2 linked regions of the Kluyveromyces lactis genome follow. The protein of the gene in region 1 interacts with the protein of each later gene in a pairwise test. Links are inferred from orthologs where the notes say so. Each region holds a gene or a part of one and is shown on either strand. Other genes may lie near its edges.

What was found.
Region 2: the proteins of BEM1 (region 1) and CDC42 interact in a two-hybrid assay, tested with the Schizosaccharomyces pombe proteins (3 studies listed by BioGRID). The link is inferred for Kluyveromyces lactis from reciprocal best matches to the Schizosaccharomyces pombe genes scd2 and cdc42.

The regions. Positions count from the first base shown.
Region 1 is NC_006041.1:2,075,420-2,081,208, forward strand, and holds BEM1 (phosphatidylinositol-3-phosphate-binding protein BEM1), read right to left. Parts: upstream 3,569-5,789; coding exon 3,560-3,568; intron 3,342-3,559; coding exon 1,623-3,341; downstream 1-1,622. Other genes in the region: guanine nucleotide exchange factor MUK1, read right to left, coding at 1-343; KLLA0_E23343g (uncharacterized protein), read left to right, coding at 813-1,343; putative ubiquitin-specific protease UBP16, read right to left, coding at 3,986-5,789. UniProt on the Schizosaccharomyces pombe protein: Required for mating and morphogenesis. Interacts directly with scd1 and with cdc42. May bridge and facilitate scd1 and cdc42 interactions.
Region 2 is NC_006037.1:380,822-385,078, reverse strand, and holds CDC42 (Rho family GTPase CDC42), read left to right. Parts: upstream 1-2,260; coding exon 2,261-2,836; downstream 2,837-4,257. Other genes in the region: GCD6 (translation initiation factor eIF2B catalytic subunit epsilon), read left to right, coding at 1-1,804; chaperonin-containing T-complex alpha subunit TCP1, read left to right, coding at 3,908-4,257. UniProt on the Schizosaccharomyces pombe protein: Involved in development of cell polarity during the cell division cycle.

The sequences.
Region 1 (5,789 bases):
TATCAAATCTCTCATAAAACCTTTGGAATATCTGAGATAATTGTGTAATCATTAAAGGCCTGGAATATTTAGGCTGTTTCAAATCATCAATGAACAAATCAATCAATTTCATCAATTCATCAGGTATACTAGCAATGGGAATCAAATCATCATTGGATTCTGAAGATTCTATTGGTAGTTCTGGTGATGGAGGTGCCGATGTGCTGGCAGTTTGAAGCATGACATTCGGTTTCTTTGCATCGCTATTATTGGAAATCGTCGAATTCAAACTATCGCGATAAGATTCAGTGATGGATTGTTTAGTATCGAAAGAAGCATTAGAAAATGGGGGAGTATGGAACATAGCTCAATTGCCATACATGAGCAGGTCCAAAGATGATTCACAAGCTTGCAGTGATAGAAATCATAAACTTTTTCTTATAACGTTGTTGAAGTAAACCAAGTTGCTGTGAACTAAATGTTTCAGTATGAAAAAGACATTCGAAACCCTTAATTATGAAGAAGATCAAATACATATCTCTTAGAAGAAACAAAAGAAAAAAAGCATATTAAAGGCAATATTGAAGGCTCGATCAAGAGATATCTAACAAGAAAAAGATAACCAGTACCTGTAGTATCAGCTTCATCTACGAAACTTTCTTAACGGGTGAATTTACAAACATTTCTAATGATCTTCATTTTAAGCTTCCAGAAAGTTCTCGGTTGGCCATAAGATAAATTAGGACAAACGAAACAACACCTACAAAAGTAGCAGCGAACAGATCATCTGCTTAGAATAGTTCACTGCGAATGAGCAAGGTATTAGCTATACAATGTCATCAGGCTTCAAGATGAAGAGGTCAAGGAGTCCTGACCCGATAGGAATCGATAACTATAAGAAACAACGGCTAATATATGATTTCGAAAACCTATCGTTGGCTCCTAGGGGAACCGATGGGATAAAGAAACATAAAATTGATTCAGGGTTGAACTCATTCAAAGCAGTTGTAAATAAAAGGATGTGGGATGTAGTTGAACGCGAATTGAGTGGTTCAAACAAAAATGATAAGATATATGAAAGAATATTCGATCATGTACGACAGTTTAACTCGCAGGTAATAAAATGGTATGACTGGCGATCTGTGGTAGCAAGCTTGTGGGTAAAATGGTACCAACAGCATAGTCCAAAATTAGATGAAGTAGATATGAATGTTGAGACTGCAGCAGATTCCAGAGTTGATCTGGCACCGAATCTCATGCATAGAAATGATGAGTTTGATCACAATGCGGACATGGACATTGACATGGATCTCGATACAGATCCGTACGCGGATGCAGACATGGACATAGAGCTGGATGAATAGTCCTTAGACATGTTTGTGAAGTATTATTATCATTTTGATAGAAGTATTAACACCTATAGAGAGAGTATGTAAACAACTGATTTTTACTTGTTGAACTGAATTAATGTGAAAGAATATAAGAGTGTTAATGTCAAAATTATGTTGAAGTATTACAATGCGATGTACAGTACATCATTATGATAAGCATGAAAGCCATCAGTGGATAGAAATTGAATTTTGACCACCTTGGGGTTCTTTTTGTATTATTTATTATGACGATAAAATTTTGCAACAAATAACTTAGCTGTCATCGACAAAGATCTTGCGTTTCTCTTGAATTAGAACCGGTACTTCTGCATCAGTAGTGACTTGAGTGCCAATATCATCTCCGTTTTTGATGTACAACTTAAAAGAATCTGCGTCAATTCTAGGTGCTATTTTACTGCACAATTCTTCAAAAGTAATGGTAGGATGCAGCATCAAGGCGAATATGTCATCTTTGTAATAAAATTTGATCTTGACAGGCTTTTCATCAGTTATTCTCGGAGCGAAACCACTAGGCGGCCTTGATTTGACTTTAGCACTGGCATTGGAAGCGCTATTAATCAGAGACAGTCTCTTCATTGCCTCTGGAAGTTGTAGTTCTTGGTTAGTCAGAGTTGAATCATCAGCCCTACCTTTTACGTCAAGCTCCACAGTTTCATCATTACTAATCTCACGGTCAAAACCATTATTTTTAACGGCAAACAAACCCTTGACCAGATGTGATTGTGATATATGCGGCGGTAGGGAAATCAAATCCTTCACGTATATATTTAGGTCATCTTTTCTCTTTTTTGAAATGGTATCTGTCACATACGGAACTGGACCCGGTATATATGGCATTATACGTTTCGTCCACTGACCATTAGTGTCTCTTAGTTTACCCCCTTCTGCAGGGAAGATATCGAGTAGCTTTACTTGTAAATCATAGAAATCTTCATAATAACGCTTCAAAATACGCGTGGTGTTGTTGGATAACTGACACGAGACTTGGAACCAATACTTATCGTCCTGTAGGAAAAATGTCTCGACTGCAGCGTAGGTAAGGAAAACGGCATCAGCAGGATAGGTTGTATTGGCAGCGCTCGAGTGCTGCGTGCTGGGGTGTGGTTGACGGTTTTGTGAATTTTGCCTGGATTGTGATCGGTGTTGCACGTACGACTGACCCTGCTGTTCCACTGAACCTAGTGTGATATTGCTAGCCTTGTAACGGGCGATATTGATCTTCCATTCTTGGACCGAGGGTAGATTCACTGATTCGATATCGCTTTTTACATCATTTCCCGTGGCATAACCAGTAGCTATATCTATAATAGTCACAAAACCAACAGGAACTAGACCGGGACCACCCAACCTGCCAATGGGCTTAGCGATAAACCATTCAAAATCGTGATGAGCACAAATGAACAAGTTTTCTCCGGCATAGGCTGTTAACTCATCTGCCTTTTCTGCTTGAAAATCATACAGTACAATTGCATAAAGAGTTCCCATATTGGAAGGTTGTTGTTGCTGCTGTTGCTGCTGTTGCTGCTGATGATGCTGTAATAACTGATTACTACCGACAGATCCATTTCTATTTATACTTTTCACCGGTGATGCATGCGAATTTGGCCTTGTTCTGCCAAAAATCTCGAAATAATTCTTAGGAACCATGCCTCTCTTGCCGTCCGCCGGATTGGAGGCCTCATACCAATCGTTCTCCTCTTGCTGAACATGGAAAAAGTCTCCCTTATTGAATGATAATTCACCGGCTGATTGTGCCTGGTAATTGTATAACGCTTTGATTACTTTTTCTGGAGACGAGATATCTTTTGATTTTCCACTTGTAAACCCCGAAGATAGCTGTGATGATGTAGATAATTGCCTGATAGGAATGGTCTTTACGTTTTGCACTGAGCTCCCTGGACTTTGAGTAGGTCCGGAAATATCCGCAGAAGTTATGCGCTGTTTCACACTGTCTTTCTTCAATTTGAAATTCTATTCCAAAAATTTCCAGAAATTAGATAATTGGTTCAATTTAATCACCAACCAATGATCATAGTATATGTTAGTATTTTGCCTTCACGTTGCAATATTCATGTGGTTACCTTCTTTCAGTAAAGAAAAATTTTCCAGCCTCTAACAAAGTCAGAAATCCTCCGCTACTACGTCAAAATTGCCAAACATAAGACAATACCACGCGCATTATTACATACCTTCAACATTTTCCCACTATTGACTGCCTTTGCCTTTGTGTTGCAGCTTTCGTCTATCAACTCTGTTATTATGAATTCCTGAAACTCGTCTCTTTATTCATGTCAATCCTTTTTCATCTCGCTTCATCAACCCGCAGAAGGAAAGGAAGAATTTCATTCTAGAAGGGTTTTAGAGGTCACATGATCTGAAATTTAAAGATCGTACAGTATATGTATATAAGGTTAACGTAAAAGTGCTAAAACTAATTAATCGAGTAATACATGGCCTGTGGTCATCATAAATCGATGAGTTAATTGACAAAGGATGAATGATTCGGAGCGGTGAGGTGCCGCTTGTGCAATTTAGTAAAATATGTCTATGTTTCTATTTTTTCTTATTCTTTTGGTTGTTGTTATGTTGGTTCCAGTATTTGCTTACTGACCAGGTTAGACTACTGGTACCCTCTCATAGTACAACATATAAACGAATTTAGTTTCTGATAAAATATCTGAAGTTTTATATTCTTTAACTTTAGTATCAGATATTCTCCACCATGGGTATTTCACCACACTTTTCAATTTCTTTAATCTTCTTTTCTTTGTCTTCTTGTTGACATTCATTGAAATACCGTCATAATCTGTTTCAGTTTCCACTTCGGTAGCACTTGTATTAGTAACTTGATCTGTACTGTAAGAGTCGATACTAGCATTACTAGATAATATCGAAGCGTTGCGGTCAGTCGTCATAGAAGAGACACTGTTAAATCTTGCGCGGTTTCTATGTTCTGAAGATGATGAAGCCATGGGTGAACTGCTAATTTCAGGTAGTATATTGCTAGTATTGTTATTATCCGGTGCTGCCGAGACAGAACTCTTTCTCGAAAGGAAACCAGTGACTCTTTTCAAAGTGGATGGCGTCCTTGAAACTCCAGAACCACTGTTGTTGTTTTGGCCCTTATTATCTGCGTCGTTAGAGAACTCTGAGCTTCCAATAACGTAATCATCATCAGTAACAATCGCAGAGTTTGGTGAGTCCAGGAAAACAGATCTGAATGGCACGTTAGAGGAGATTGAATCTTCCGAGCCGATTGAACAAGAATCGGATTTGTTAGAGGAGTTCAGAACGGCCTGATTCCAGATTTCAGCTGCAAGTTTATTCGACGCAATACCGAAGTCCACCATTGGTGTCTTGCTAATGACTTGATGTGTATCAATGTCTTTCATAAACTCTGGTTTGTGTCTGAAACATTCATAGTGACCGGTAGAATGAGAACCTTGATGCCTCAACATCGACCTTAACTTATATGAATCCTTTCTGATGCCAACACATTTATTGTTTTCAATAACTTGGCGGTTGACTACCAATTCTTCTTCGAAAGAAACATTGCAGGTGTTCTTTTGATATCCCATCCCGTCGAAAACCGAACGCGACAAGTGAAGAATCAAAACATCTGGCGAATCAACAACCACAGTTTTCTTGACAATGGTGGATTTGATTTCTGACGTCTTGATACCACCTTTCTCGTAAGAGTTAATGTAAGTACTTAAGTTCCTAGCCAAATCATCGTTAATAAATGCTTTGGGCAATAACTCTTCCAACTCCTTCAAAATCTGGTTTTCTTCATCAGAATTGTTTTGGTAATTTCTATTCTTTTCATTTGCGATAATCGCGTTCAACTTACAACATAAACACGAATACCCGCTGATTTGATCTGTTTGATTATCAGAAATCATTTGAGCCAAATCCGCGTTTATTAGCTGTGGTACTGGTAAAGAATACATCGTGAACTCATGAATGTTTACTTTTGAAGATTCACCACAGCTTAAACAGAATAAACTATCAGCCAGCGATCCGTGTACCGGGAAAGTCGGTATGATGACATTCAACGAGTGATTCTTGACAAATTTTTGTAGAGCCAAGTTTTCGTTCTCCAACGTCTGCAAAACAACTTGTGTCAATTCATGAGCGTCATTTTGGCCGGTAGAAATCTTGGCCTTAAAAATACCCTCTATCACTCTTAAAAAGGGCCAAATAGAAATATGATGCTGTGCAGTTACCGTTTGCTGCAACTGGTACAGTATTTGAGCCAAGGACTCATGAAGAGGGATCTTAGGGATATCCTTTGAAGATGACTCTACTTCATCGGCCTCATCGGTACTCTCACCCTCACTATGGTCCTCTGACTGGTCAGTTGATACTTCTTCTTCCGATTCGTCTGATTCCTCTCCAGTCAAGGAGGATTCCTCCGAC
Region 2 (4,257 bases), on another chromosome or scaffold:
TTTGGTGACTAATATGGACTTTGAAAAGGCTTTAGATATTCATAAACAAAGGAGAAAGGCTGATAAGGATCATATTGTCACTATGTGCCTAAGTAAAGCGACTCAGTTTCATAAGACAAGGTCTCATGAACCAGCAACGTTCATTTTTGATAAGTCTAATGATAGATGTATTTACTACCAGGATATCCCATTGGCTAGCTCTAGAGAAAAAACTACCATTGATATTGATCCTGAACTTCTGGAAGGTGTTGACGAGTTTGTGTTACGCAACGATTTGATTGATTGCCATGTAGATATCTGTTCTCCTCATGTCCCTGCTATTTTCCAAGAGAATTTCGATTACCAATTCTTGAGAAGAGATTTTGTTAGAGGTGTGCTTTCTAGTGATTTGTTGAAGAAACATATCTACGGGTACATTACCGACGAATACACCACTAGAGCAGAAAGTTGGCAAACGTATGATGCTATCTCGCAAGATTTTATTGCTAGATGGTGTTACCCATTGGTTCTTAATGCCAACCTTTTAAAGGGCCAAACTTATTCATACGAAAGCCAACACATTTATAAGGAAAAAGACGTGGTATTAGCGCAGTCCTGTAAGATAAAGAAAAACACGGCCATCGGCTCAGGATCCAAGATTGGAGAAGGTACAGTCATTGAAAATAGTGTTGTTGGTAGAAATTGTAAAATTGGCTCAAACATCAGAATCAAAAACAGTTACATTTGGGACAATGTTGTCATTGATGATAACACTACAATTGAGCACTCTTTAGTTGCTTCAGATGTTAAATTAGGATCAAACGTCACCTTGAATGATGGTTCCATTATCGGATTCAATGTAGTGATTGACGATAATGTTACAATCCCAGTTGGAACCAAGATTTCAGCGGTTCCAGTACAGAGGAACACAGCTCAATTCTTAGATACAGCACATAATCTTTCTTCCAGCGATGAGGACGAAGAAGGAAGCACATTCACCAGAAATTCATCTTCTTTATCAATCAGTAATTCCGATGAAGTTGCCGATGCGAAGATTAAACTATCTAAGCAGTTGGTTGGGCCAAACGGGAGAGGCGTACTATACGAAAGTGATGATGAGGATGAAGATGAAGATGGATCGACCGAAAAGGGTATTGCGAACACATTAACGTACAGAGACGATGACATTTATTTATCGGATACTTCCATATCATCCATCACTCAAAAACATAGAAAGAGGAGAACCATGTCGATGACTAGTATCTATACTGATTACGAAGGAGAAGAAGACGAAGAAGAAGATTTCGAAAAAGAAGCCATCGCAACAGTTGAAAGAGCTATAGAGAACAACCACGATTTAGACACATCAATGCTTGAACTAAACACTTTGAGAATGAGTATGAACGTCACTTATCATGAAGTCAGGAATGCTTCTGTTATCGCTATATTCAGAAGAGTTTACCACTTTGTAGCCACACAAACACTAGGTCCAAAGGACGCTGTCACTAAAGTCTTACAACAATGGGGTCCTGTGTTTAAGAGACAAGCATTTGATAGTGATGAGTTCATTGATCTAATGAATATCATTCTGGATCGTGTGCTAGATCAGAAATTCGATAAACCAGATTTCATTCTATTCCATGTATATAATGTCTTGTATGATTTGGATATCTTAGAGGAAGATGTCATTTACAAATGGTGGGACTCTGTAAGCGGTGATTCAAAATACAGCGAAGTTACTGCTCTACTGGCCAAATGGGTGGACTGGCTAAAGACTGCAGATGAAGAATCATCTGATGAAGAAGACAGTGACGAAGACGAATAAGTCAATAACGTCATAAATGCCCTTTGAATTTTCATGGTTCCTCCGAAGTTCAAGATTGGTCAATATCAATCAATATAATGTAGCATGTAGCATTTCGAGTAAACGTGAGATAACCATATGCAAAGTAATCTATAGACAAATATACGTACGCATTTCAAGGCTAGTGTCCTCACTACCGGACTGCCAACCGCCTATGCGGTCTTCCTGTATTCTATATGGGAGAGTTTGACTGAAAATAATTCAAGTCACGTTACAACGTTACCCTAACTTCCTTATCTATTAACATATTCCCATTTCAAAATTGAAATAACAGAACAGGAGGACGAAGATATGTATGTGATGAAGGAGAGTAGTCAGACAAATTGGATGTTAGACATAGCACAGTCAGCCGGAAGTAACACCGTAAAGGCCTGCAGTGATAGTAGTATAAAAGCAAGGAAGAAAGGAATTTAAAACATGCAAACTCTTAAGTGTGTTGTTATAGGTGATGGTGCTGTCGGTAAGACGTGTCTTCTAATTTCATACACAACTAACCAGTTTCCAGCCGACTACGTTCCAACCGTTTTCGACAATTATGCTGTTACGGTGATGATTGGCGATGAGCCATACACGCTAGGTCTTTTCGATACAGCTGGTCAAGAAGATTATGATAGATTAAGACCGTTATCATACCCATCAACAGACGTGTTCTTGGTTTGTTTCAGTGTTATATCTCCTCCTTCTTTTGAGAACGTAAAAGAAAAATGGTTCCCAGAAGTACATCATCATTGTCCTGGTGTTCCATGTTTGATTGTGGGTACTCAGATAGATTTAAGAGATGATAAAGTGATTATTGAAAAACTACAGAGACAAAGGCTTCGTCCTATCACTCCAGAGCAAGGTGAAAGGTTAGCCAGAGAGCTTAGAGCCGTAAAATATGTTGAATGTTCGGCTCTTACCCAGCGTGGTTTGAAAAACGTTTTCGACGAAGCTATTGTTGCTGCTCTGGAACCTCCAGTCATTAAAAAGAGTAAAAAATGTATTATATTGTGAAAAGTGATCGGCCTTGTATTTTTTTTTTTTATTACCAGTACATGTATCAGGTAAGAAGTTTCTCACTCAAGGATGAGCGTTCTTAACAATCTTCCCGTTCACCATCAAGTCCAGTTTTATATTTATAGATGATTGTGAGATAGAGAGTGTGTTTCCAAGTTTTTGCAGGTTCAAAAGAGAAAAAAAGCTCTACCCCCCATCTCCAGAAAAAGCGTTACATTTCACTAAACCAACATCCTAAAACTACCAAAACTACTTCATAACTCTTTGACATTTCTATAGACAAACTGAAGTACCAAACGTTTGGTTCTTTGTTTGAATTCTAAACCGTCTAAAATACGAAACTGGTTCGAAGCGAAAAACTAAACACTATGGAGTATCGCTTTGTTTAAGTATAAAACCTCAACGAAATTACTCTTCGTGTGTGGATTTCATTATCTCATGATATATTTAACCTCTCAGGCTTCTAATTGACTTTTAGCTCAATAGTTTATATAAATATAAAAACATTTTCCATTTAACATATTGCTTTAATTATACTATTTGGTCTTGCAAAGTACTTTACACATCCAAAAATACAGAACTTCGGAACGTCTTATAAAATCATATTTAAACCATCAACCATATTTTAAATAACATTTAGATTCCATGCAATATTTTGGATGATGAAATGGATGTTACTTCGCATTAACCTGGGTTACCTGTAAGATAGAACTGTCTTATAACAAAACAATAAAAATCTCGGTTTTAATGGCATACGAACTCAAAATATATAATAATAACAATCTCTTCCAATGAATACACCCCCCAATTCTAACTCTTTGAAGCGCCAGCGGTAAAGACTTTCCATGCAGTGATGAATATGCAACATCTTCACTTATTCACGTGACTTTTTTTTGTTTCCTTCTATTCATTCACTACCCTCCAAGAACCGAAATTCTAAGTTCGTGAAAAACCTTCAATACAAAATACTAATATTGTAACAACAAGCGATTTTGAAAAGTGTAATTGAAGTGAGCGCTTTGAGAAAAGTATCATCAGATCCACTACGACCGTTAATAACACTGAACGATGGCTCAGGTATATGGGAATTCACGTTCCGATACGTTATTTCTAGGTGGTGAGAAAATTTCTGGCGATGACATCCGTAACCAGAACGTTTTAGCCTCTTTAGCAGTGGCAAATGTCGTTAAATCATCTTTGGGGCCTGTTGGTTTAGATAAGATGTTAGTCGATGACATTGGTGACTTCACCGTTACTAACGATGGTGCTACCATTCTCGCGCTTTTGGATGTTCAGCACCCAGCTGGTAAGATTTTGGTTGATTTGGCACAACAGCAAGATCGTGAAATTGGTGATGGTACCACCAGTGTTGTCATCATTGCTTCTGAGCTATTGAAGAAAGCTAATGATTTGGTCAA